Linked DNA regions of Ovis aries. The protein of the gene in region 3 binds, or shares a complex with, the protein of the main gene of each other region. Links are inferred from orthologs where the notes say so. Each region holds a gene or a part of one and is shown on either strand. Other genes may lie near its edges. The genes, in order: CWC15, SNIP1, DHX16, SCNM1, PPIL2, SNRPD3 and SNRPD2.

Region 1 (4,289 bases), on a different chromosome or scaffold from region 3:
CACCAAGAGCTTAGGTCTTAAACATGACAGTAGGGACTATAACAACAGTGGCAGGCAAGTAAGTCCTTGACAAATACCTGCCGAATGAGTTAACAAAAGTATTGATTTTATTATGGAAACTGTAGCCTCAGGAAACTTAGGATACAGTTTACACATGCTAGAAATAAAAATGGAAGAATTTCATAGACAGAAACCATGGGGCCTTAAAAAGTCTGGCTGCTGTAAATAGTCAAAAACTCCTTAATCTGAATTGAAATAACAGTTGCTAAATATCCCCTAGCTCTTTCTAAAACAGAGGCATAATAAGATGAAATTGGTATCAACTTCATTATCATCTCTAATCCAATCCAATATAATCTAATCCAATCAATCCAATCCAATCTAATCTTTCAAGAAACTGCTATAGCTCTCACCCCACATTTAAAAGCAAACAAACAAAAATAATAATCCATTCCTATTACCACATGAAAGAAAAACTACTGTCAACATAATGTTATGAGAGATGTCTAAGGTAGTATTGGTACCTCGGGTTGGCCGATCTCTGTTTTTTTCTCTTGCAGCAGCTCTCTCTCTCTCCTCCAACTCTCTCCTGAAGTCACGGTTTCGAACTTCTTCAGGGGCATCCTGAGTGGTCTGTCTAAAGTAGAAACAAGACAAGGCAAAGTTACTTCTAAAAAACACACGGCTGTAGTAATGGAAGACAATTCAAGAAACACAACTTCAGCCTGAGTCCTAAAGCAGAAAACTCCACTAGGGGATAAACAAAATCATCAGTCTAATCCAAAAGTTACTAAGAGGCATCCTGTGATGTCTAAAACCTCACACTAAATCAACATACTTTTAAGAACCTCAAACTAAATCAACAACCTTTAAGAACCTCAAACTAAATCAACATACTTTCCCATAGTAAGGCAGCAGGTTGATCAAAACGCTTATACTTTTTGTTAGTATGCTAACTCAGGGCTTGTTACAGCAACACTTTTAATCTCATACTGATTTGTATTGATAGTGCTTGCTCCTCCTGACAGAATGTATTATTAGTCATTGTTCAATCTACATATAGAAATTCCTGGTTAACTGGAATTTCTGCTTAAGGAATATCTGGTAGCACTTTAAAATCATGGAGCATAATTCTGGGTGTCTGAAACACTACTACATTCTACTCCTATGAAAACAGATAACTTGAGTGATAGTAACCCCAACATGCTACCTCATGACCACATCATTTAACAGACTTGGTCTTGCTTGTGAAACAAAAACTAAAAGGCTTCATTACCTATATTTTATCTTTGTATGAGAGGGTAGGTCTCTGCTTGAATACTGCTTTGAGAGTTGGCTCAAATCACCCTCACCTTTTCCTCTTCCACCTCTTGCAGGTTCAAAAGTTGGCCGAGCTGCTGTTGTCATCTTTTATGCTTTGAAGAAAAACACTGTCAAGTTATTTTCAATATGACAAACTCTCATTTTGAAAAGCATTAATCTATAGCCATCCTTGTGAAATAATTTCCCTAGCTCATTCCCTCAAACATCTGTGACCCCTGGCAAGCCACCAAGTTTAAGTTTCTGTCATCTGTGAAATGGGGATATTCCTCAAAAGGTTATTAAATCAGGAGACGTGACATATCAAAACCTTTATAAAATACAGTACAGCCATGTCTGAATTTAAAACATCTCCACTCAACCTCACGCCACCGGACTCCTTACTCCCATTTCATCTAAACCTCACACAGCAGAACAGGCTAACAACTACAAAAGCAAAGACATCTTAAAAAAAAAATCACTGACAAAGTTACTGAGTGTTCTAGTAAAAAAAGTGTGTTAAGCTTCAATGACAGTTACATAGGCAAATATCTCCAACAATCTTTTGTTGATCAAATTTCCTCCAGTAGCAGCCAACATAATATAAATTAGATCTTTTCCAAGTTACAATTTAAGAAATGCTGGAAACACAAGAGCCCACCCTCAAAGGACTGTAATAACCAAAAATTAGGGACCCGTTTGTGGTTACTGAAACATCCTCAAGCGTCAGAGAAGCAAGTGTCAGGGAAAAACTGGGGGAAATGATATACTTCTCTAGATTTTCCGGGGAAAAAAAAAGGGAGAGGGATGTATCCAGAGAGACAGAAACAGGGTTTCAGGTCTCTGGGGAGCATCGCCGCCTCCCCCCCAAAACAGTCATCCCTGGGGCGGGGAGTTCACCTCCGGGCTGTCGCAGGGAACTCGCTGACTCTTCACCCCTATCCCAGGGGGCGAGGGGCGGCCCTCTGCCGAGATGCCTTGGCGCTGCGCTCTCGGGAGCCGATCGGAGACCAGGGACACGCTCGCTAGGCGCGGAGCCCCACCACCAGTTCGCAGCTCCACCGCCTCCTCCGCATTTACGGGCTCTCTGACTCCGCCCCCAGCTTCCCCTTCCGGCCCCACCGACAGATGGCTCTCCGGTCTGCAGCTCCTGGGCCTCCGCGGCCTAAACCCGGTTAGCTGACTCCGCCCCCAGCTGCCCCTTCCGGCCCCGCCCACAGGCCGCTTTCCCCGTCAGGCCCCTGTGGGGACCGCTCAGTCAGCACTGGATTCTCTGCCTCCGCCCCCAACTACCCCTTTCCGGCCCCACCCACACTAGGCTTTCCTCGTCTGGCGCCTCCAGGGCCCGCACCGAGTTCTCTGCCTCCGCCGCCAACTGCCCCTTACGGTCCAACCCACAGTCTGCTTTCCTCTTGCCGCTCACTTTGGCCGAACTCCAACGCCGCTACCTCCGGAGATCATACAGACGCCATCTTGACTCTCCGCTCCCAGAAACCTCTGCACCCGCGGCCCAAAAAAAAAAAAAAAAAAAATCCCAAGACCCGGAAGCAAACCCCAAGCTCGTCAGGCGCCCGCGGAGGCAAGGACCAGTCAGCGGAGACCAAGGTGGAAGTCGAAGTGACGACGCACGGGGCGGGGCTTAAACGGCCCAGGGGGCGGGCATTTGAAATCAGTGCTTTAGAGTAGACCCTGAACGTTGTTGTGTAGCTTCGAGAGTCAATTAATGTGTGTTCCGTCTTTTCCTTTTCCGACCCCCTCCCAGATTCCTTCATTCCGGTACTGCGTAAACGAAGAGCCCCGAGTAGCCGACACCAAGTCCCCGGCTAGCGAGAGAGCATAGAAAAGGATTACACCAAACTGTTTAAATCCAACGGCTCCTGCTTCCTTACTCCTGAGCTAGACCCAACAAGCCTAGAGAGTTGGGCTACGGAAAGTAGTATTTGCATTTAATTGGATATGAAGAAAGAACAAATATGTACGGGGGCAACCACGATCTTTATAAAGGTACCATTCCTGCAAAAATATTAGTCTTCACAACGAAGGTTGTATTCGTAACGTTCGTTAAAATATTTACTTTTTATAAAAGCCTAAGTTCTAGTGGGAGGGGAGGTGTCACTGTCGAGATTCATTTATATACTAACAGACATTGAACGTTTAGAACGGTGGCCCAACTGCCAGGAGCCCTAGATGCAGTTACTATTGTAAGATGGCTACTCATGCGTTAGGGAAAGTTTTCATAAGGTAACGAACAGGAAAATTAAAAAATCACCAATCGTCCTAACTCCTTCCCCCACCAAAAGCCCTCTGGGAGCATGGATTTTGTTTGCCTTTCCAGTTCAACTTGGTATCTAATCACATAATCCTTGGCCACAGTAGATGCTCAGTAGATATTTGTTAAACAAATGAAAATTGAACTCCCCCCACCTTAGTTTCAAATGTAAAGAGCTCATAACATCGAACAGAAAAAAGCTTTCCCCACCAACGCCCCCAGAACTCCTTGAACGTTAAATGAAACAAAGCATAGAAAAAGTCCCTTCCCTCATAAAATTCAAATTGCTAATCTTGATTTTTCTTACCAAAGGTATTAATTACTCTCCTAATCTGCCACATCTCAGTAAAGGACACTACTACCATCAGGCTAGTTACTCAAACCAGAATCCCAGCGCTCCTCTTAAATCCCTTTCCCTTCACTTTTCTCATCTAGTTTACTTGCAAGTCTTCCCAATTCTACTTTCAGCATATACCCCAAATTTCATTCCACTGCCTTAGTCCAAGCCAGCATCATTTTCTACCTGGATTGTAATTGTCCCCTAATGATCTTCTTGCTCCCACTTTTCTCCCACAGTTAACTTTGCCTGTAAAAGTGAGAGTGATCTTTTAAAATCGTGAACCAAGTAGTGTTACTCTCCTGAATAAAAATTCACTGCACTTAGAATAAAAATCAAATTTCTTAATGTGACCTGACCTGAGTTCTTAGGGTTTGGTTCCTA
Region 2 (3,500 bases), on a different chromosome or scaffold from region 3:
CTGCATACCACAACAAGAGTGTCGCCTCTGCTCACTGCATCTAGAGAAAGTCCACTGCTGCTGCTGCTGAGCCGCTTCAGTTGTGTCCGACTCTGCGCGACCCCACAGACGGCAGCCCGCCAGGCTCCCGCGTCCCTGGGATTCTCCAGTCCACAACAGCAACAAAGACCCAGCACTGTCAAAAATTAAATAAAACTTGGAGGAAAGAGCACAAGACGATGACTGAACGCCTGTCCCTCAGGAATGAGGACAGGGCAGGAGAGCCTGATCTGACTGCTCTTGCTCCACTCAGTGCGAGAGTCCCAGCCATGCAGCAAGGGGCAATAAAATGAACATGCACTGGAAAGGAAGACAGACAGAACTGCCCCTGTGCAGACGTGACTATCTATGCAGAAAATCCCAAGTTTTAGGTTGGGATTTACTTAGGCCAAATAAATGAGTTCAGTAAGGCCACAGGGTGTAAGATAAACATACAAAAATGGATCATATTTCTATGTACTAGCCATGAACAAGTAAATACTGAAATTCAAAATATCACTTGCTGCTGCTGCTAAGTCACTTCAGTCGTGTCTGACTCTGTGCAACCCCATAGATGGCAGCCCACCAGGCTCCCTCGTCCCTGGGATTCTCCAGGCAAGAACACTGGAGTGGGTTGCCATTGCCTTCTCCAATGCATGAAAGTGAAAGTGAAGTTGCTCAGTTGTGTCCGACTCTTAGCGACCCCATGGACTAGAGCCATCATTTAATGATAACTTAAAAAAATTACTTAAGTGCAAATCTAGCAAAACACATACAGGACTTGTACACTGAAACACTGATAAAAGAAATCAAAGATCTAAATAAACAGAGATACACCTATATTCAAAGACTGGAAGACGCTACATAATTTTTTAAAATTTTTCAAAAAGTACAAGTTTAACACAATTTCAATCAAAATACTAGCAAGTTTTTTCAATAGATACAAACAAGATTGTTCTAAAATGTATGTGGAAAGATAAAGGCACGAGAATTCCTAAAACAATTATTTATTTATTTGGCCATGTCCTGTGGCATGTGCCTCCTTAGTTCCGCCCAGCCAGGGACCAAACCTATGCCTCAGAGTCTTAACCACTGGCCTACCAGGGAAGTCCCAGCAATTTTTAAAACGAAGAAAGTGAAAGAACCAGTCTGTTCAATTTTAAGACTTATTATATAGCTCCAGTAATCAAGACTGTGGTACTGGCAGAATGACAGATCAATGGCACAGAACAGAGGACCCAGAAATAAAGGCACACACACACACTTTTGATTTCTGACAAAGCAAAAGCAATTAAAGGGAGGAAAAATTGTCTTTCCACACCTAGTGCTGGAGTAAATGGATATCCACGGGGCGAAAAAGGAAATTTGATTTAAGGCTCCTTCCTTAGATTAAAACAAACTCAAAACAGATCATGGACTTAAATGAATATTAAAGAAAAACGTATCTTCAGGTTCTAGGGTCAGGGAAGTTCTTAGACATAACACCAAAAGCATAATCTGTAAAAGGAAAAACAGACAAGCTGGACTCCAAACAAATCAAAAACTTTTGCTCTGAGGAAAACTCTTTTAAGAAAATGAACAGACAAGATACAGACGGAAAGAAAATACTGGAAAACCTCTCACTCCAAAAAGGCCTGGTATCTAAGAATATATTACCAAAAAAAAAAAAACCTCTTAAAAATCAGTAGTAAAAAAACCCAAAACAATCCAACTAGAAAATAGGCACAAGATCTGAAGAGACATTTTACCTAAGAGGAAACACAGATGGCAAATAAACACATGAAAAGATGCCCAACGTCATTAGCCACCAGGGACATGCAAATTAAAATCACAGTATCACTATCACTTATCAGAATGGTCAAAATGGTCACAATACCAAATGCTGGATCACTCACATTATAAAAAGGGATAGCCACTGTAAGGACTGAATTGCGCCCCTTCCAAATTTACATACTGAAGTCTCAACCCCCACACCTCAGACTGTAACCAGATTTTTTGCAGGTAAGGTCTTTGAAGAACTGATTGAGTTAAAATGAGTAAGCCCCTAATCCAATATGGCTGATGTGGTTAAAGAAGATGTGAGTCAGAGATGGGCGAGCACAGAGGGAAAGACTATGAGGACCCAACAAAGAAGGCAAGCCAAGGAGAAAGGCCTCAGGAGAAACCAAACCGCTGAAACTTTGATCTCTGACTTCTAGCCTCTTAGATTCCGTTGTTTAAGGCAACCAGTCTGTGGTATTTTGTTATGGAAGACCTGGCAAACTAACACAGCACTCTGGAAAACAATTTATTAATGTTTTAGGAAAAAAAAAAAAAAAGCACCTACCATACCATCTACAAACTGCACTCCTGGGCATCTATCCCAGAGAAACGAAAACCTATGTTCACACAAAAACCTGTACAGAAATGTATACACAGCAGTCTTATGTCTAATAGCCAAAAACTGCTAACAACCCAGATACACTTTAATGGACAAATGGTTAAATCCATACCATTGACTACAGTTCAGCAATAAAAACGAAGGAACTACAGACAAAAGCAACAATATAAATGAATTCCAAAAGAACTTAGCTGAGTGGAAAAAGCCAATCCAGAAAGGCTACATACTGTGTGATTCTATTTACATAGCATTCTTGAGGAAACAAAATAACAGAAATGGAGAAGTGACTAGAAGCTGCCAGGAGTTGGAGGGGTAAGGGTAGGCGGGAACTGGGTGTGATATAAAAGAACTACTTGAGGAATCCTGTGGTGATGGAAATGTTCTGTATCTTGACAGAACTGATGTCAACATTTTGGTTGGGATATTGTTCTATAATTCTGTAAGATGGTACTATTGGGACAAACTGTGGCTTTTGTATTACCTTTTACAACTGCATGTGAATCAACAATTATCTCAAAATAAAAAGTTTAACAAAGAAAGAAGAAAAAAGAAAAAAAAAAGCCCAGTTTTTGGAGAAGCCCACTGCAGGTACAGGAAAACACACACACACCACTTTAGCTATGATGGAGAGGCTCTAGGTTTGGAGCCAGTACGAAAACATCTCAGTCCACTTACCTGCTTTATTTTGATTGCTGAGTGGTGAGGACTTCGGCTTCTCTTACTCCGGGGAGACTTGCTTCTTCTCCCTGAGGATTTGTTTTTCTTTTTGGCTGGGGACCTGTTCAGAAAATGGTACACACATTTATCTCAACTTTCATTCCCTCATACAAAACAGCTCCAAGCATCAGGCATATCCAACTAACACAAACACCATGTCTTTGCTGATCACACTAAAAGAATCAGGAGCTTCACTTTTCTGGTCCTATGTCTTCCACATACGTAACTGCCTACTAGAACTTCTCACTTAGATAGCAACTCTAGATTCCCAACCACCCAAGACACTTTCCTCTGTTTTCTGCCAGCTGGATAATTAGTGCCACCATCCACCCTGTTCCTCAGGCAAAAAACCTAGAAGTCACCCTGATTCTTTTTCTCCCCTCGA
Region 3 (4,228 bases):
CCTTTTGAGTACACCTCTTTAAGTCCCAGGAACAGGGAAATACTTCCCTCACTAACATACAGTCTGATCTGATCCTAAGGAGTCAGAGGGTTTCTGGGCCACTTCCTTCCCACTACAGTTTAAGTCTATCCTTAGCTGGCGCCTCAACCAGAGACCCAACAGCCCCACCACACCTCCTCTGCATCTTTCCTCCCTACCCTAACCACTCCATCAGGAAGCCTTTCCCTTTGTCTTCCTGGGCACACGGACTCACCATGGCTTTCCGGTCTTCCTCAGCCATCTTGAGGCGCTTCTGAGCCTCTTCGTAAGCCTAGGAGAAGGCAAGAGTGGTCAAAGTCCCCGTGCCCACAGCCATTCCTGTCTAGAATCACAAGGATCACTCAGATGTTCCCTAGCACAAAGAAATGTACCCCCTTCACTGAGGAATCTCTGTGGTTACAGGTTCAGCAGAGAGCCACCTTAGCCCAAAGACCCAAAGAGATGACCAGACTACTGGAGGCGGCTCCTTGTCTTCCCAGAGATCACTATCTGCGGTCACACCCAACCTCAGATCGGATCCAGGGGTCTGCCTGGGGACTGATGGGAAGTGCTGCTCCAATGCACCTTCTTGTCTGACCGCTCCAGGACGTTGCGAGTCCGATCCTTGTCCCGCTGCCGAACCCGCTCAGCGAATGCATCGCGTTCCTCCAGGTCCTGAAGGCGCTCTCGCTCTGTCCGCTCCCACTCATCCTCCGACTCCGGCTTTTCCGTCTGCTCTTTCTTCTCCCTGCAGCCCACCCCGGAGGATTAACTGAGGGCACTCAGAGGCTTCCTGTTCCATCACCCTCTCGCCCCCTACTTCTGACTTACCCTGTCTTCCTCTTTCCTTTCTCAGAAACTTGTTCCTCCTCCTCGTCTTCCTCTTCCTCCTCACGTTTCTTCCTGAGGTGTTTCCGTTTTTTCCGCTTCTTCTGGACACTGCTCCCAGCCCTGCCCACAGTCTCCTCGCTGCTCTCCTCACTGTCCTCCAACAACATATAAGAGCGGTTCTTTTCCAGCAGGGCTCGGGCCTCTCGCTCGGCTGCCCGAGCTGGCTTTTCCACCACTGCCTTCCGTGGGACCTGTCGGGAGAGAGAGAAGTCAAGGGGATGTAAGCAACTCCTGATCTCTGCCCACCTACTCTGCCCAGTTCCTAATTTAAGGAGTAACTGATCTTAAACCAGCTGTCATTCTGTCTCTTCCCCAAGGCTTCACACCATGTCCATCAGCCCGAATGGGGTCTCTCAGTTCCTAAGCCTATCCCATGCACCCCCTGCTAGGTACTAGAGATATAGGGGTAAAGAGATAAAACTTTCTGCCCTCATGGACTTTACATTCTCACACTCAATTCTCAACTGCTCAGCCTCTGTTCTTCCCGATGACTAAGTCATTCCTACCCAAGGACTGGACAAGGATTGTCCAGATTGTTTTGCAGAGCCCTGTCACGGGCCAGCACTGTAGTGGCCTCCAGAGATACCCTGGTGAACGGATTAACACAGAGCTCCTACCCTCACATCAAGTACGTTCTCATCTTTCACCAAGTGCAAATGGGACAGCCACACCAAGTTATCTGCCATGAACAAGTTCAACACTTTTAGTCTTACTGTATAATTTCTGAGCTCTTGTTCTGCAGGTTACAATTAGATGGTATGAATACAAAGACAAAAATCACAGTCTTGCCTTCCAGGAGCTCACCATTACACCTTTACTCTTCCCCTTTCTTTACCCAACAAACTCCAGATAATCTTTGGGCCTGCTTTTCTCGATCACAGCCACACCACTTCTACCCTCCCACAACACTGCCCACACATCTCTTCTATAGACTCACTCTTCGAAGGGTGGGCAACACCCAGCATCACCCGAAAACTTACAAGATTTGTTAGAAATGAAGAAATGAAGAAACCATCCCAGACCTACCGAATCGGAATCCTCATTTTAACAAAAGCCGTGGATGAATCCTAAACCTGTTTGAGAAACACTGCTCTGTAGACCCTTAGTTCAGTTCAGTTCAGTTCAGTCGCTCAGTCGTGTCCGTCTCTTTGCGACCCCATGAATCGCAGCACGCCAGGCCTCCCTGTCCATCACCAACTCCCGGAGTTCACTCAGACTCACGTCCATTGAGTCCGTGATGCCATCCAGCCATCTCATCCTCTGTCGTCCCCTTCTTCTCCTGCCCCCACCCAAACCCTCCCAGCATCAGTCTTTTCCAATGAGTCAACCCTTAAGCCCTCCTCAACCTTCTCCACGGAAGTGGTCGTCCAGCCCGAAAGTGATAACTGCTTGCAAACTGAGCTTAATTCTCCGTTGGACAGTTAGCCCAAGTGAGCCCAAACTCCGTTGGACAAGTAACCTGGGGGCCCCTCCCCTGCTCCACCCACTTTCCCGCCGCTCCCACGCCCGGTCCCGCCTCTCCCAGCACCTTGTTCCAGAGTCTCAGGGCGAAGTCCCGGGCCGGCCCACTGAGGTCCAGGGTATCGGTGTCTCGCAAGCGCTGCACGAACTCCTCTGCCGAGGCACAGCGCTGCGCGGTACCGATCAAGAACTGGGCCACGTGCCGCTCGCTCAGTCCCAGCACCGAGTGCAGCTCGTCTTGCACCCAGCGCTCCAGCCCCGCCGGTGTCGCCATGGCGACAACACGCTCCCTATTCCCGGCCCTGAAAGTGTCTCCAGCTGCCACGTCGGCGGCCGGGCGGGTCGGGGGCCTAGAGCTCCAGGATGGAGCCTCTGCTCCGGAATGGAGCTGCCTGAGAACCGAGGGGTTCGGTTTCCGATAGTCCAAAACAATCTTCCTGGACCGCTGAGGCCGGAAGTGGCTGCTCTTTTCCGGCCTATGCACTACGGTGGCCGAGCGAGTTCAAATCTCGCGTAATTGTACGCGAAGCTCGGAATAAAACATTTTCATTTCTTCCCCTACTGAATTTCTGTTGCCCTCTGTTGATCATTCGTGAGTATTACACCCATTCATTTCATTCAACTATATTAAGAACCTAAAGTGCCTGGTGGCTCAGGTGGGTAATGGCACCCCACTCCAGTACTCTTGCCTGGGAAATCCCATGGATGGAGGAGCCTGGTAGGCTGCAGTCCATGGGGTCGCGAAGAGTCGGACACGACTGAGCGACTTCACTTTCACTTTTCGCTTTCATGCATTGGAGAAGGAAATGGCAACCCACTCCAGTGTTCTTGCCTGGAGAATCCCAGGGATGGGGGAGCCTGGTGGGCTGCCCTCTATGGGGTCACACAGTCAGACACGACTGAAGCGACTTAGCAGCAGCAGCAGCAAAATGCCCGGTGGCTCAGGTAGGAAAGAATCTGCCTACAATGCAGGAGACCTAGGTTCTATCCCTGGGTGGGGAAGACCCTCTTGGAGGAGTAAATGGTAGCTCACTCCAGTGTTCTTGCCTGGCGAATTCTATGGGCAGAGGAACCTGGCCTACTACAGTCCATGGGGTCACAAAGAGTCGGACATAACTGAGCGACCAACACTTTCAGTGTGGGCCAGGCACAGTTTTAGTACCCAGGGATATAGCAAGGAACAAATCAGAAACAAATCGCTTACTGAATTTACAGTGGCAGAGGGTTGGGGGTGGGGACCAGCCTGACAGAGACAAGATAAAAATATAAAATACTAAGTTATATGGAGCCAAAAATAATGCAAGGTGTGTGTGGGCGCTTGTGGGGTGGGGCATTCAAATTAGAAGATCAGGTCCATGCTTGTTACAGATCAACTAATTAGGAGTGACCTTTGCTAGGACCTTCTGCAAGACATGAATACAGGTTAGGCTTATCAAGGACTCCAGGCAGATGAAAACTCAAGATGTGGAGAACAAGCAAAGGTACCCTCTTTTCTTGGTGCTATCTCATAATGTTATTTTAAAAGATCTGCAAACTAAGAAATATGCAAATTGTATTCTGCTTTTTTTTTCTTTTGCTAACAGCTTGAGAAAGTCACTGGTGTCTGCTTAATTTTAAATAAGCAGAACTTGTTGCTTGACTGCTGTCTGGCCTCTGGTTCTGCTTCATACTTGTACAATTAATTGGATTTATCTGACACTGTGTTGGGAAACTAAACATTTGTTATTCCAACTAACAGCCACAAGTAGTTCCACATCATTGATGTCATGAGTGCACTGTTTTCTGTTTCTGAAATGGACTGTGAACACCCCTGGCATCTCAGAGCTTCTTACTTCTGCTTTCCTGGGTCAAAACTAAT
Region 4 (3,980 bases), on a different chromosome or scaffold from region 3:
CTCCTTCTGACAGACTTATTAATAGGGCACCAGGCTGCATGCAGCTGACGCTTGGCATGACTGTGGGAGAAGGTGGGGGAGGGGTCAGAAGTGTGGGGAGCTGTGTACCTTGCAGAGAAGAATTGGCTGGGCTGAGAATGAACAGATCTGAAATCCTGAAACAAGGAACCAGACTCAGGAGAAGCTGGGCTCCCAGCGCCGGCTGTAGTTTATTTGTGAAATGAATGGGGAACGAGGATGTCAGTCCAAGGGGAGATCAGGGGGTTCCTCCTCATCAGAGTCAAACTCAACATTTTCATCTTTTACCCATCGACCTCGTCCATCTGGGATCCATCCAGAGCTGGAAACACCAGAAAATAGAACTGGTCAGGAAAGGAAGTTTATTAAATTAAGAAAAGCATGTGTGCGAGTGCTCTGTCATGTCCAACTCTGTGACCCCATGGACTGTAGCCTGCCAGGCTCCTCTGTCCATGGGATTTCCCAGGCAAGAATACTGGAATGGGTTGCCATTTCCTTCTCCAGTTGGGAATCTTCCCAACTCGGGTCGAACCTGCCTCTTGTGCACTATAGGATTCTTTACTGCTGAGCCTCCTGGGAAGCCCCAATAGTTCTTTCTATCTAACTGTAGTTAATTTCCTGAACTATTTGAAAAAAAAGTTACATATGTAAGGAGTCTTTGTGCATGCATGCACGTGTGCTAAGTTGCTTCAAGAGGAACTGACTCTGTGACCCTATGGAATGTAGCCCGCCAGGATTCTCCAGGTAAGAATACTGGAGTGGGTTGCCATGCCCTCCTCCAGGGGATCTTCCTGATCCAGAAATCGAACCTGCATCTCCTGCATTGGCAGATGTCTTCTTTACCACTGTGCCACCTGGGAAGCCCCGGGGGATAAGTAAAAACACTTGAGAAGCTCTGAAACAAGGAGGGTCAGAGATAAAAGGGAAAAACTGAGGAAAAATTCTGCATACTCACCTTCGAAGGGTGAGGTAATGATCCAGGGCCCGTCTTCTTGTGGGGCTCATAGGTGCGGGGGATGAGACAGTGGCTGACTCCTTGGTCTGTGAGCCAGCCTCAGGCTCAGGTTCTCTACTGATCTTCCCACCTTGGGGTTCAGCCTCTGCGGGTGGCAAAGGGGGACGAGAGACAGAGGGACGAGGGGCTTCCGGTCTGGACAGAGAAGAATCGAAGTCTGTAAAAGCAGTAAAGGAAAGGGCCTAATCTCCTGTGACTCCCAACTCCTTATAGGAGTGCTTCCCAATTTTGTGTTCCTCAAGATATTAGTAAGTGTTCTGCATAAAAAGAATTCTGGAATCCAGTAAATTTAGGAAAGTCTAAATCTTTTAAGGTTTTTTTTTTATCTTATGATTTTGTAGAACCCTTAAAATACACTAATTTTTAATCAAATAGGATTACAAAGCACTTTTTTAGTTACAAAAATCTTTTTCCTGAAATACAAGTTAACACCCCCAGAACACTTAGTATGTCTCAGATTACAATTAGGAAAATAATCACTTTAGAGCTATCTATCTCTTGTCCCTCCCTACCTCTGGCTTTCCCATCCCACTAACCTGTACTTCCGGCGGCAGCAACTGTTATAGTGAGGAGCTCTGTGCAGAGCACTCTGAGTGATAAGTCGAGTCTGGGTTAAGAGAGGAGCCTGGCATGGAGACAGCAGAGTCAGAGCCTTCAGAGCCAGAAATAAGCCAAAGTCCTTTAGCCTAAGGTGTGCAGCACAGTCCTGCCTGGAACACAACTTCCCCTCTCTGATTACCTCTGCTGTGGTCTCTTCTCTCCTGAGTTCATTATGCTGTCTTGGATTCTGCTCTGTGCCCTTTCCTGCTGGCTTCTTGCCATAGAAAAGCTGCAGGCCTGAGGAGAAAGGGGAAGAGGATTAAAAGCAGAGCACCAAGGGTGGTCTGAAGAGATTTTAAGGGTTTACTCTATTGTCTGTCTTTTCCCAAACTTACTGGACAGATGTTTTTTGCCTGCACGGTGGGCAGTCAGCATGGCCAGAGTGTCCAGGACGGGTCGGTGGGGACAGATGGCACAAGCAAAGCTGGGGAGTAAGAAAGATAATTGGTCCCTGGGGAGTGGAGTCTTGGTCATAGGTCCCACCCCGTCCAAGCATTCATTTCCAAAGCCCAACTCCCAAGTCTCCCAGTCTCCATCACCCACATCCCTGTTACTCACTCCCAGCCAAAGAATCCTAGATACTCCCGCTCTCCTCCTTAATAACAAAAGTTCTTGAGTCTCTAACTTCAAAACCCTTAAACTTGATCCACTCCTCGCTCTCACCGTCCATCCCGTAGCATCAGCGCCTCATCCTCTGGGATGTAGCTGGCAAGCAGGTCCCCGACCCTTCGTTTCTGCAGGAGACAGGGGAAGAAGTCCGCACGGGATCAGCTGGATATGAGGGAAGGATAAAAGGGAAATGATAGAGACGAGGACTGAAAGGGAATAAAGACCATGGGAGAACACACATCTGCGGTGAAAAAGGGGTCACCACCACCTCTAGTCTTTTGGTTCCCTCCACTCCGCCCCCCAGTTGTTGCCACAGCAACAAAACAGCTCCTTTACAGCTTTCAGAGGGCAGGTGAAGCTGCTTCGGAAGCACTCCTCTCCGCATACTTTGAGCACATTGAGCTGACTCCAATCGTCTCCTTCCCTCTTGAAAGACATCAAGACTGTGAGCCCCAGAAATCAAAAACTCTATCCAGCCGCCTTCGCCACGCCTTTCAGGCCACCGTAGCAGGAGTGGGTCGTCTCCGTTCCTTCCGGTCTCTTTCCTGCTGGCCCCCTGACTTCCGGGGGTGTGCTTCCACGAATGCACTGCGCGATCCCGGAAGCCAGCTTCTAGCCGGCCGAGGGGGACTGTATTTCTTATGGTGCCCTGCGACCTCACCGGCGCGGGGCCTTTTGGGAAATGAAGTCTTTTTTCAAAGAGCTTGCCGCCGGGCTGGATCCAGGCCCTTTCGTCTTGGCAGATTCGAGGCGTTTGGAATGACAAGAACCTAGATGAGGAGCCCGAATTTGAGGGTGTGACTGATTTGGTTTGGAGAATACCTTTGAGGATCTCTGACGGAGAAAGAGTGCTACAGACTCTGGCTATTGTCACGCCCTTCGCCTGCAACCACAGCCCATATAGGGTGGGCCTGATCTGTTCCTGACCCTAGAGGGCTAACCCCGGGACCGGGCGGAGTCGGGGTATTGGGGAGCCTGGAGGTCGGGCTGCCAGACGTAGGGGCAAATTGAGCTGCGTGTTAAGGAGGCTGCTAGAGTTCAAAGGTCAGGGGTCAACGTAGCGAGTTGTTGTGGGGAGTCGAAAGTCGGAGGGGTGCTAAGGAAAGACTCAGGTAGGGACTGAATAGTCGGAGTACAGATTTGTGGGAAGGGGACTTGCAGGGAGGAGAAGCTACGGCTGACAAGTCGCGTATCGCCGGGGGAGGCGGGGAGACTTAAGAGAGAAGACTGAAAGAGAGGAATCCTCTAAGATACCCATTCTCGGACCGCGAGCCCGTCATTATCGGTCACTTGGCCGGGCCTCCCGGGGTTGTAACCTCAGTGTCCGCAGGGTGAGGAGATGGCTTCTCCCTCTAGACAGGCCCCCCTCGGGGGGTCAGGACTGCTTCAAGGGAGCCGGGCTCGTTCTTATGGAAGCCTGGTGCAGTCTGCCTGCTCCCCGGTGAGGGAAAGACGCCTGGAGCATCAGTTGGCGCCCGGAGACACCCTGGCTGGACTAGCACTCAAATACGGGGTGACGGTGAGTCTTCCAGGATTGGGACGTAGACACCCAATTAGAAGAGGTTTATTCCTCATGAGAATGTATGGCCCTCTAGGCAACTTCCCCTGAAATTTTCTTAATTGTGTTTATATTAACTAATTGTGATAAATTGACTGTGATAAAGGTTTGGTCACCTTTATCTTTTTGTTTCCTCATCTCAGTGTTGCACTGTCTGGTGGGAACAAATCCTGTCCCATT
Region 5 (4,073 bases), on a different chromosome or scaffold from region 3:
GGGTGGTGTTGTAAGCCAGGCTGGGGCCATCACCCGAGGAGAGTGTGAAATAGAGGAAGCGGCGGGAGGAGACCTAGGAGGTCTGGGGAGGAGAGGACCCAGGAGAGGGAACCCAGAGAGCACCGTCTCTGAAGAAACCCGAAAACAGAGAGTGGTGTCCCAGACACCGAGGAAGGGCTTCAGAGGGAGAGCGGTGGTCCGGCACGCCCCAGGAAGCGAGGACAGAGAGCTGACCCCCGGATGGAGCCGCCCCCGGAGTTGAGGGATCCCGACAGGAGCAACGCGGGCAGACGCTGACTGAAGCGGGGTCAAGGGGAAGGCAGAAAACCACAGGGGATCGTCCTCATCTCGCCATTCAGACAGCTCAGCTCAGCCGCCTCTGACCCTGTGACCCCATGGATCGCAGCATGCCAGGCCTCCCTGTCTATCACCGACTCCCAGACACCCTGGAATGTGAAGTCAAGTGGGCCTTAGAAAGCATCATTACGAACAAAGCTAGTGGAGGTGATGGAAGTCCAGTGGAGCTGTTTCAAATCCTGAAAGATGATGCTGTGAAAGTGCTGCACTCAATATACCAGCAAATTGGGAAAACTCAGCAGTGGTCAGTTTTTATTCCAATTCCAAAGAAAGGCAATGACAAAGAATGCTTAAACTACCGCACAATTGCACTCATCTCACATGCTAGTAAAGTAATGCTCAAAATTCTCCAAGCCAGGCTTCAGCAATACATGAACCGTGAATTCCCTGATGTTCAAGCTGGTTTTAGAAAAGGCAGAGGAACCAGAGATTAAATTGCCAACATCCACTGGATCATGGAAAAAGCAACAGAGTTCCAGAAAAACATTTCTGCTTTATTGACTATGCCAAAGCCTTTGACTGTGTGGATCACAATAAACTGTGGAAAATTCTGAAAGACATGGGAATACCAGACCACCTGACCTGCCTCTTGAGAAATCTGTATGCAGGTCAAGAAGCAACAGTTAGAACTGGACATGGAACAACAGACTGGTTCCACATAGGAAAAGGAGTACATCAAGGTGGTATATTGTCACCCTGCTTATTTAACTTACATGCAGAGTACATCATGAGAAACGCTGGGCTGGAAGAAACACAAGCTGGAATCAACATTGCCGGGAGAGATATCAATAACCTCAGATATGCAGATGACACCACCCTTATGGCAGAAAGTGAAGAGGAACTAAAAAGCCTCTTGATGAAAGTCAAAGAGGAAAGTGAAAAAGTTGGCTTAAAGCTCAACATTCAGAAAACGAAGATCATGGCATCTGGTCCCATCAATTCATGGGAAATAGATGGGGAAACAGTGGAAACAGTGTCAGACTTTATTTTTGGGGGCTCCAAAATTACTGCAGATGGTGACTGCAGGCATGAAATTAAAAGACGCTTACTCCTTGGAAGAAAAGTTATGACCAACCTAGATAGTATATTCAAAAGCAGAGACATTACTTTGCTGACTAAGGTCCATCTAGTCAAGGCTATGGTTTTTCCTGTGGTCATGTATGGATGTGAGAGTTGGACTGTGAAGAAGGCTTAGCGCCGAAGAATTGATGCTTTTGAACTGTGGTGTTGGAGAAGACTCTTGAGGGTCCCTTGGACTGCAAGGATTTCCAACCAGTCCATCCTGAAGGAGATCAGTCCTGGGATTTCTTTGGAAGGAATGATGCTAAAGCTGAAGCTCCAGTACTTTGGCCACCTCATGTGAAGAGTTGACTCATTGGAAAAGACTCTGATGCTGGGAGGGATTGAGGGCAGGAGGAGAAGGGGACGACCGAGGATGAGATGGCTGGATGGCATCACTGACTTGGTGGACGTGAGTCTGAGTGAACTCCGGGAGATGGTGATGGACAGGGAGGCCTGGCGTGCTGCGATTCATGGGGTCGCAAAGAGTTGGACACGACTGAGCGACTGAACTGAACTGTCCACTGAGGGAGGTCCCATGCCCTCCAGCCATCTCATCCTCTGCCGTCCCCTTCTCCTCCCGCCTTCAATCTTTCAGGGTCTTTTCCAATGAGTCAGCCCTTCGCATCAGGTGGCCAAAGTATTGGAGCTTCAGCATCAGTCCTTCCAATGAACACCCAGGGCTGATCTCCTTGCAGTCCAGGGCACTCTCAAGAGTCTTCTCCAGCACCACAGTTCAGAAGCATTGATTCTTCGGCGCTCAGCCTTCTTTATACTCGAACTTTTACATCCACACATGTAAAAACCAAACCATCGGAAAAGACTCTTGGAAAGGACTCTTGAGAGTCCCCCGGACAGAAAGGAGATCCAACCAGTCCATCCTAAAGGAAAGCGGTCCTGAATATCGTCTGGCGGTTAAGAAAATCAAAGAAATTCGACGGTAGCTCGGGGGCCCAAGTGGGTTTAACTGGAAGATGCTGGAGCTCGGGAGCGGACTGGGGGACGAGGGACGACCACCGCGCCCGAGGAGACGCCCCCAGGGAAAAGCTGGCGAGCCTGAGGAGCCGAGGGGACTGGACCCCCGAGACCCGCGCCGGAGGGGGAGCCCGCGGAGGCTTCCGGCGAGGCGGCGTCGGCGGGCCGGAGAGCGCGGGGCCCCGGAAACCCGCGCGGAGCGGCGGAGGCTTCCGGGGAAGCGGCGTCTCGGGAGCTCGGGGGCGGGGCGCGGGGCGGACAGGCCCGCTCCCGGCGGTGGCGGCTCAACTCACATCTTGTCCTTCTGGTGCTGTCGCTTCCCCATGGCGACGGCAGGGTCAGCGAGCGCAGAAGACGGGGGAAAAGCACACCTCCGACCGCGGCGTCTCGGACGAACTCCGTAACTACTTCCGGGTCTCGCCGAACCGCCCCGGAAGCAAGCGCTGAGCACGCCGGGAACTGTGGTCCCTGGCTGCCCCCGCCCCCACCCCGAGTGCACGCCCGCCGGGCGCGGAGGCTCCCCGCGCCCGGGGGCTCCCCGCGCCCGGGGGCTCCCCGCGCCCGGGGGCTCCCCGCGCCCGGGGGCTCCCCGCGCCCGGGGGCTCCCCGCGCCCGGGGGCTCCCCGCGCCCGGGGGCTCCCCGCGCCCGGGGGCTGAGCAGTTTCGGCGTCGAAGCCTCCCCGTCTCTGCAGCTTTCTGTGCACCGCCTACCTAGCCTGCCTGCCTGGTCGCAGCTCAACGCCATCCCATCCCAAACCCGCCCTGGTCTGCCCTGGCTTCTCAGGTCTTCCGCTTGGAGCCCGGAAGTTCCCCCGGCCTTGGCCCCATCTCTGCCCCAGGCCGGCACCTCCAGATGGACACCCACATTCGCTATCCGCCCTCTCACCGCTCACCGGGACCGCACTGCCTGCAGCCCCCTCTCCTGGGCTACCCAGGGGCAGGTGGCCATCAAGCCCAAAGGTCCAAAGCCTTCGTGATCCCTTCGGCCTCTTCCCTCGGCCGGACCACCACGTTGGGGTGCCCCAGGCCAAGCCTCAGACCTCCCCCTACACTCAAGCACTGGGTGACCTTGCCCGGGCTCGCGGCTTTAAACGCCTGTATCGCTTGACTCCCAACGCTAAATGGCCAGCACTCAAGACTCCTGCCCTCTACTCGGGCAACCCAGTGAACTCGAATTCAGTATGTCTGCTAAAGCAGAATTCTCCTCCTCCCCCTCTAGGGTCCACTCTCCTCAGAGTACCACTATCCAGCCAGTCACCCCATACAGCTACAAGGGCTTGTTACCACTTGTAATCCTGTACTAATCCATCTGTGTACTGTCTAGCCACACATGCACGCACGCACGCACGCACACACACACACCCTCTCTCTCTCTTCAGGGAGACATGGCTTCCCCAAGAGCCAGGACCCCAACTGCTCGTCTGCTATCTCCAGTCACAAGCAAAGTGCCTGCGAGCTGCGTGCTGTCCCTTCAGTTGCGACTGACTCTCTTCCACCCTTCTGGACTGCAGCCCGCCAGGCTCCTGTCTGTGGGCTCTCCAGGCAAGAATACTGGAGTGGGTTGCCATGCCCTCCTCCAGGGCATCTTCCCAATCCAGGGATGAAACCGGTGTCCCTTGCGTCTCCTGCATGGACAGGCAGGTTCTTTGCCACCTGGGAAGCCCCAAGCAAGGTGCAGGGCA
Region 6 (2,440 bases), on a different chromosome or scaffold from region 3:
CATGCCCCCTGCCCCCTGCTCTCTGCCGGTGCCCGTGACCTTACTGACGAGGGCGGTTCCCTTACAGATGTCCAACATCACGGTCACGTACAGAGACGGCCGCGTGGCCCAGCTGGAGCAGGTGTACATCCGGGGCAGCAAGATCCGCTTCCTGATTCTGCCCGACATGCTGAAGAACGCACCCATGTTGAAGAGCATGAAGAACAAGAACCAGGGCTCGGGTGCCGGCCGGGGCAAGGCGGCCATCCTGAAGGCCCAGGGTAGGTGCTGCGGGCGCGGGGCTGCGCCGGGCAGACGAGCCGGGGCCTGCTAGGGAGGCCCTGTGGCTGGGCAGCCAGCTCCACACCGCTGCCCCGCAGTCCTGGGGACCCCCAGACCCCACCTTCTCGGTCTTGCCTCACTCGCCCCCACTCAGGACGCGCACAAGATCCACAGCTGCTCCTTAAGGAAAGACGGGCTCAGATGAGAGCGGATGAGTCCGCTGTGGTGACTGCGGGGAGCCTGCCCCGCGCTGCTCGCTGAGCAGAGGCGCGGCCCTGAAGGGCTGGGGGGGTGGGCCCTGTGTGGCTGGGGTGTCTCCTGATGCCCAGCGTGAGCGAGAGAGGTGGTGTGGGGAGGGGCACTCTCAGATGGGAAGTCAGCCGTCTGGGGCCATCTTTTACCCGTTAAAGGAGGCTGAATGCGATTTTCCTTTGCTACGTTCCAGAAGTGGGACGTGGTCTTCCCAGTGATGCGGCCTGATCGTTTTCCCTGGGTTAGCCCACTCAGTGTTCAGGGTCAGGGTCCTGAAGAGTTCTGCCGTGTTGATCAGCTAGGAAACGAGTGAGTCGTTAGGAGCAGTCTGAGTATCTATCGATACAGAGCCAGAAGGTCCCCGGATGCCCCTCAGGCCTGTAACTGCAGCAGGCCTGTCCCACTTCAGGTGGCCTTGGAGCTCCGAGGGGCCTTGCAGATGCCCTCCAGGAGAGCCGGTCAGGGAGCCTCCTCGCCCCTCCCGGCGGGGACTGGAGCCCTGGCCCTCCGTCCAGGGGAAGGTACGGAGGCTGAGCTGCAGCTGCTGCTCCGCTTCCTCGGGGCCGCCCTCCCGTCTCTGTCGGGGCTCTAGGAGGCGGTGCCCCCAGGTTCTCACGGCCTGCCTTCCCTCCTGGGTCAGCTCCAGGCTCTGAGAGGAGAGTCCAGAGGCCGGCAGGGTATCTTCCCTTCTTCAAAGCCACTGGTCCCCTCTTCGGACCTGAGTCAGAACAGCGGTCTTCATCGAGGGGTGGTTTGGGGTTTTCACCTGTGGTTCCCCGGCCCCCATTCAGAAACATTCCACGTGCAGAACAGCTCAGAGAACAAGAATCCTCACCCAGATTTAATAGACGTTAACACTTGACATCTGTTTCGGAATTTTACGTGTGAATTAAATGCATCTGTAGTGTTTTGCTTGCTCACCCTGGGGCAGCTCTGAGAATTCATCTTTTCTCTGGTTCCCAGGCGGGCCCCCCAAACCACCGTCCCTGCGAGGCCCTGCCCCCAGCTTCTGGTGGGGCAGTGCTGGGCCAGGAGACAGGTTCAGGGTGTCCTCTCCAGCTCTGCCTGGCCACCCGCCCCTCCTGGGGGCGCTTTCCCCGTGAGGTGTGGCGGGCGGGCCTGCTGCTGGACTGGCTCCTCGGTGGTGAGGGTCCGCACCGACCTGCCTCGTCTTTTCTCTCCCCTACCTTTCAGTGGCCGCAAGAGGGAGAGGACGTGGAATGGGACGTGGAAACATCTTCCAGAAGCGAAGATAGATTTTATCTGTTGGACAGAACTTTGCTTTTTTTTTTTTTGTTTTAGGTTATCTGGGTCGGGGTGCGTGCCTATGTATATGTCCTAGGTTATCTGTTGACATCATTTTCTTTAGATGTGGGTAAGATGTTAAACTAAATAAATATGGTGGCTTTTTCTTTTTGAGAATCTGAGGACTCTGTTCCTTTTGTAGTTTTTTTGCTGTGTTTGCTTGGGCCGCAGCTTAAGCTTTGACACCCTGGGAGGTGTGCTGGGGAAGCGCCAGTTTGAAGTAGCACAGTTATTGATGAGCACGGGGGCCGCCGTCCCAGCCGGCACTGGCTAAGCGCTTGGAGGGGCTCCGAGGGCGCACAGGTTCCCTTGTTGGCACACAGTCATGCACGCGGCAGCCTCTTCAGGAGCACTGTCAGCTCAGCTTAAACAACGGGACACACAGGTCCTGCCTGTGGGGAAAGAAACCAAGACCCAGAGCTTACAGCCTGCAAGCCCCAGTGACTCAGCACCTAGCAGAAGTAATCTAATACGAGAAGGTCACTCAGAGCCCCGTGGCTCCTGCAGCCCTGGCTTCCTAAGCAGTGCTGCGCTGACCCGGGGGGCAGGGTCCTGTGTGTTCGTCAGAGCGCTCGGCGTGTACTGGCACAGCGGCGGCTGCTGACGCAGAGACGGGGTGTGC
Region 7 (4,136 bases), on a different chromosome or scaffold from region 3:
TACAGAGGGCAGGTCTTCGCAAAACCAGGGGGAAAGTTCTGACAGCAGGGAGGAGGCCCTACTTGCCAGCGATGAGCGGGTTCCTCAGGACCACGATGACAGAGTCCCCGCGCAGGAACATCTTGGAGATGTAGCGGTCCTTGTTGACTGGCTTGGACTTCTTCTTGCCCTTGCCGCTCTTGGGGACCTCCGTCCACATTTCCTTCACATTCTCCAGCACCATGTTGCAGTGCCTGGTGGGGACGGGGAGGCAGCAGGACTGAGTGAGGGGTGTGTCCTGACCCTTCCTCTGGGCGGCACTGCCTCTGGGAAGGGGGAGAGCCAGGGCTCCGAGGCTCGGGCAAAGGACTTCACCTTCTGCGCCTCAGTTTCCTCGTCTCTAAAATGGAGACATTCATGGTGCCTGCCTCCTATGGCTGTTGTGAAAATTAAGTGAATCAACACACTATTTTTCTTATGGGCATGTGTGATGACAGTGTGGAATAGCTCGGTCAACAAACGTTTACAATGATTAGAGCAATGAAAAAAAAACCAGGTAAGAGCCCTGTCTTCATGGGCTCTGCAGGCTAGTGAAGGGAGAACACGAAGCAGGTAAACAAACACACCTGTAATATACTGTCAGGTGGTAGTAAGTGCTATGAAGAAAAACTAACGCAAGGTAAAGGGATGGGGGGCTTCCCAGGTGGCTCTAGCGGTAAAGAACTTGCCTGCTAATGCAGGAGACATAAGAGATGCAAATTCAATCCCTGGGTTGGGAGGATCCCCTGGAGGAGAGCATGGCAACCCATTCCAGTAGTCTTGTCTGGAGAATCCCATAGACAGAGAAGCCTGGTGGGCCACAGTCCATAGGGCTGCACAGATTCAGACACAACCAAAGTGACTTAGCCCTCATGCACACACACAAAGGAATAGGAGGATACAGGGAACTATGACTGAGTGAAAGAAAGAAAAGAAAAAAATTGGGAAAGCTCTGTATCTTGCTATATAGTAATCTACGGTGAGGAAAGCACTTCCCAAATGCTAACTAAAGGCTGCATGTGTTTACTGAGCATTTATCATGTGTTAGGTACTGAGCCAAGTGCTTTTCATACATAGTATTACTGAAGCCTCATTACTGTTCTGAGGGATATTATTATGACGCATATTTCACAGGTAAGGAAACTGAGGCCCGGACAGCATACCTCCCCAGACCCTGGTGCTCACCTGTCGAAGGCCTTCACGCGGCCCAGGAGCTTCTTGTTGTTACGGCAGTTGATGAGCACTTGAGTGTTGTTTTTGACTGACTGCGTGAGCACGGAGAGCGGCCCCGTGTTAAACTCCTCCTCCTCCCGCTTCTGCAGCTCCTCTGGGGTCATCTCACTCTTGGGCTTGTTGAGGAGACTCCTGAAAAGACAAGTATGGAACCCAGAGGTGAGCAGGCCCATAGCCTGGGTGCTCATGGCCTCTCCCTTGGTGTCTCCCCGACACATATCCCTCTCTTCGTACTCAGTCCTCTCTCTTGCTATCACCACTTGGATGCCTAATGGATATTTCCAATCCTCGCATGACCTAGACTGAACTCCAGACCCCCCATAACCCCAACTTAATACTATCCACAGCCTTCCTCATCTCTGTCAGTGGTGACTCCATCCCTCTGGTTCTTTGAGCAACTTGACTCTTTCTTCTCTCACATCCTACATTCAATCTGTCAGCAAATCCTGCCATCTGCCACTAAAACCTATCAGAATCTGAATTTCTTACCTTGGCTTAAACCTCCATCATCTTTCCTAGGTCTCCTTGCCTCCACCCACGCTCCCCAACAGTTCGCCCTCCACAGAGCAGTCTCAAGGGTGGTGTCAAGAATCATCTCACTCTTGAGTACCCTCTCAGTGTAAACAGTAAAGCCCAGCTTTTACCCTCACTCTGTTCCAGGCACAATGGCCTCTTCAGTGGTTCTTGAAGCTATCAGGCAAACCTTCTTGGGCCCCTCTATTCACTTTTCCCTCTGCCTAGGTACGTCCCCAGGTACCTTTGCAGTTTGCTTTCTCACTTTCTTCAGGTTTTTGCTCAAGTGTTGCCTCCTTCATGCGTTCTGTCTCTCACAAGAGACATTCCACGCTGTTTTACCCTGCTCTGTTATTTCTTTATTCAAAACCCTATTCCCTAACACATTCTAGAATTTACGGATTTATTACCAGCACGTTTCCTGCCTGCCTCTTCCCATCCCGTAAGATGTAGAAGAGGATTTTTTTTCCCTTGGGGAGAGTGGAGTAATTCAGTGATATAAGCTATGCGTCTAAAGCAGCCTAATACACAAACAACTCAATAAATAACTGTTGAGTGACTACATAAGTAAAATCATCCCCATAACTCGTTATCCATACCAATGGCGGATGTGATCGAAAAGCCAATTGTCTCCAGCTACGCCTCTTACCTTAAGACCGCTTTTCCTACAAGTCCGTACTCCTCATCTCCCAGGTTTTTAATTCGTAAAAACGCTTCCTCTTAAACTTCACTTCAATAAGATTGCTTATTTGGGAAAGCCCAGCCTGTTATCTGATAAAGCTGTCCCCGCTCCCGAAGTCAGGATCCTTCAAAGGCCCCACGTCCCCTCGCAACTCATCAGTAGAAAGATACGCCACTTTACCCCCAAATGTTTGCTTCCGCGCCCACTTCTGCCTACCCACTTCAACCGGTAAGTGGCCAAACTTACACCCTCAATCCCACTGCCGCCACCCAAACCCAGCCCGGCCTCACATGATGATGATGGTGACCGCGTTTTCAAGCCACTACCGTCTCCTCCGTGGTGTGCCTCCCGAACAGAGAGCCAGAGGCGGGACTTCCTCTTCCTACGGCCCACTTCCGCGCGCGCCTGCGCATACCCAACCAGCGAGTGGGGCGTGGCCCGTTGCTATAGCGATCTCCGCCCTCGGCGGAGGCTGCCGAGTAGAAGCCTTACTTAGTAAGTAGCTCCAGGCCACCATTCAAGACAGTGCTGGGCAGATATTCACGACCATGGAGAGGAAAAGAAGGCGGGACTGATTAAAACCATTTTGTTGCAGAACCGCATAGGTTGAAAGAGGGGAATACTAGCCATTTCCAAATGCCCGCCCGCTCTGCCTTTGGGGGCGCGGCCTTGGCGAAGCCAATCCCCTCCTCGCTTCAGGGATGGGCACCTCCCCTTTCCTTCGGAAACTGTTGATTTACGTGTATATTGGTTTTTCTGGACCGGGGAGAGGGTCCATCCGGGAGCGGCGTGGATTTGCGCCCAGTAAGGCTAGTGTTTTCGGTGATCAAACGCTTCTCATTGGCTTCCCCTCCTGCGCTGAGGCGGCGCCTACTTCTTACGCTCTCCCTTTTGGGTTGTGCAACCCGGGGGAACCAACCCCCAAAGCTCCCTGAAGACAAGGAGCCGCGTCCTCAGGCCGAAAGTCCCATTTGCTTTACTGCTCGTGGGGGGGGCGGATGGTGCAGCCGCTCTTGTTGTTCATTGGTCTGGCTTATTTCATGGGGCGGGACTTGGCTCGGCCTTAACTCTATCCGCCGTCTCCGACCGGTTTCAGGGCCAAGCTGCCATGCGTTCCGGGGGCCGCGGGCGGCCCCGACTCCCGGTCGGGGAACGCAGCCTTTTGGAGCGACCCTCACCGCCCAAGCGGCGCCTGATACCGCGGGCACAGCTGTTGCCCCAGCTGCTGCTGGCTCTGACAGTAGCCTTGGTGTTCTATACCATTTGGAGCAGCTGGCATAGCCAGACTGAAGAGCTGCCGCTGGGCCGGGAACTGCGGGTGAGGACGGGCGGGGACATGGGCACTGCGGAAGCCCTTACTCCTTGCCTCCCCTTCCCCACGGTCTCATGGGGAAGACCCTAGGTTGGGTTAACCTGGCTTTGTCTTTACCTTATGGCCCTAGCTGCAGGTGCCGCCGTCTCCGTTCTTAGAGCGCATACCCCTTTCCAATGCAATGAGGCTTCGGGCTTGTTTTGTAATAGCGGTTACCCCGTAAGAGAGTCTGGAGTAGTAAGACTTGGAGTTCTGGGTTCTAATCCTAAAGGCAGCTATTTGGAAGAGTCCCTTCCTCTCGCTGGGCCTTGATTTCCCTCATCAGGATTGCCGTGGGCTGCGCAGGATGGGTTTGGAGGGACTTCTAGAAACCTCTGA

Evidence for each region.
Region 1: DHX16 (region 3) and CWC15 share a complex: the UniProt entries of both Homo sapiens proteins name them as parts of the minor spliceosome. The link is inferred for Ovis aries from reciprocal best matches to the Homo sapiens genes DHX16 and CWC15.
Region 2: DHX16 (region 3) and SNIP1 share a complex: the UniProt entries of both Homo sapiens proteins name them as parts of the minor spliceosome. The link is inferred for Ovis aries from reciprocal best matches to the Homo sapiens genes DHX16 and SNIP1.
Region 4: DHX16 (region 3) and SCNM1 share a complex: the UniProt entries of both Homo sapiens proteins name them as parts of the minor spliceosome. The link is inferred for Ovis aries from reciprocal best matches to the Homo sapiens genes DHX16 and SCNM1.
Region 5: DHX16 (region 3) and PPIL2 share a complex: the UniProt entries of both Homo sapiens proteins name them as parts of the minor spliceosome. The link is inferred for Ovis aries from reciprocal best matches to the Homo sapiens genes DHX16 and PPIL2.
Region 6: DHX16 (region 3) and SNRPD3 share a complex: the UniProt entries of both Homo sapiens proteins name them as parts of the minor spliceosome. The link is inferred for Ovis aries from reciprocal best matches to the Homo sapiens genes DHX16 and SNRPD3.
Region 7: DHX16 (region 3) and SNRPD2 share a complex: the UniProt entries of both Homo sapiens proteins name them as parts of the minor spliceosome. The link is inferred for Ovis aries from reciprocal best matches to the Homo sapiens genes DHX16 and SNRPD2.

What each region holds. Positions count from the first base shown.
Region 1 is NC_056068.1:15,092,237-15,096,525, reverse strand, and holds the start of CWC15 (spliceosome-associated protein CWC15 homolog), read right to left. Parts: upstream 2,801-4,289; 5' UTR 2,651-2,800; exon of another isoform or gene 2,200-2,650; intron 1,431-2,199; 5' UTR 1,408-1,430; coding exon 1,277-1,407; intron 638-1,276; coding exon 525-637; intron 1-524. UniProt on the Homo sapiens protein: Involved in pre-mRNA splicing as component of the spliceosome. Component of the PRP19-CDC5L complex that forms an integral part of the spliceosome and is required for activating pre-mRNA splicing.
Region 2 is NC_056054.1:12,368,528-12,372,027, forward strand, and holds part of SNIP1 (smad nuclear-interacting protein 1), read right to left. Parts: intron 3,177-3,500; coding exon 3,074-3,176; intron 1-3,073. UniProt on the Homo sapiens protein: Required for pre-mRNA splicing as component of the spliceosome. As a component of the minor spliceosome, involved in the splicing of U12-type introns in pre-mRNAs. Down-regulates NF-kappa-B signaling by competing with RELA for CREBBP/EP300 binding.
Region 3 is NC_056073.1:27,451,493-27,455,720, reverse strand, and holds the start of DHX16 (pre-mRNA-splicing factor ATP-dependent RNA helicase DHX16), read right to left. Parts: upstream 2,801-4,228; 5' UTR 2,645-2,800; coding exon 2,438-2,644; intron 1,101-2,437; coding exon 850-1,100; intron 767-849; coding exon 604-766; intron 311-603; coding exon 254-310; intron 1-253. UniProt on the Homo sapiens protein: Required for pre-mRNA splicing as a component of the spliceosome. Contributes to pre-mRNA splicing after spliceosome formation and prior to the first transesterification reaction.
Region 4 is NC_056054.1:101,063,930-101,067,909, reverse strand, and holds SCNM1 (sodium channel modifier 1), read right to left. Parts: upstream 2,801-3,980; 5' UTR 2,681-2,800; coding exon 2,579-2,680; intron 2,405-2,578; exon of another isoform or gene 2,368-2,404; coding exon 2,297-2,367; intron 2,058-2,296; coding exon 1,969-2,057; intron 1,871-1,968; coding exon 1,773-1,870; intron 1,659-1,772; coding exon 1,570-1,658; intron 1,169-1,569; coding exon 974-1,168; intron 341-973; coding exon 241-340; 3' UTR 186-240; downstream 1-185. Other genes in the region: LYSMD1 (lysM and putative peptidoglycan-binding domain-containing protein 1), read left to right, coding at 3,582-3,761. UniProt on the Homo sapiens protein: As a component of the minor spliceosome, involved in the splicing of U12-type introns in pre-mRNAs. Plays a role in the regulation of primary cilia length and Hedgehog signaling.
Region 5 is NC_056070.1:72,136,005-72,140,077, forward strand, and holds the start of PPIL2 (RING-type E3 ubiquitin-protein ligase PPIL2), read right to left. Parts: upstream 2,801-4,073; 5' UTR 2,717-2,800; coding exon 2,685-2,716; intron 1-2,684. UniProt on the Homo sapiens protein: Has a ubiquitin-protein ligase activity acting as an E3 ubiquitin protein ligase or as an ubiquitin-ubiquitin ligase promoting elongation of ubiquitin chains on substrates.
Region 6 is NC_056070.1:71,542,488-71,544,927, reverse strand, and holds the end of SNRPD3 (small nuclear ribonucleoprotein Sm D3), read left to right. Parts: intron 1-67; coding exon 68-260; intron 261-1,707; coding exon 1,708-1,769; 3' UTR 1,770-1,940; downstream 1,941-2,440. UniProt on the Homo sapiens protein: Plays a role in pre-mRNA splicing as a core component of the spliceosomal U1, U2, U4 and U5 small nuclear ribonucleoproteins (snRNPs), the building blocks of the spliceosome.
Region 7 is NC_056067.1:53,040,971-53,045,106, forward strand, and holds the start of SNRPD2 (small nuclear ribonucleoprotein Sm D2), read right to left. Parts: upstream 2,801-4,136; 5' UTR 2,739-2,800; coding exon 2,737-2,738; intron 1,384-2,736; coding exon 1,204-1,383; intron 234-1,203; coding exon 59-233; 3' UTR 1-58. Other genes in the region: QPCTL (glutaminyl-peptide cyclotransferase-like protein), read left to right, coding at 3,555-3,764. UniProt on the Homo sapiens protein: Plays a role in pre-mRNA splicing as a core component of the spliceosomal U1, U2, U4 and U5 small nuclear ribonucleoproteins (snRNPs), the building blocks of the spliceosome.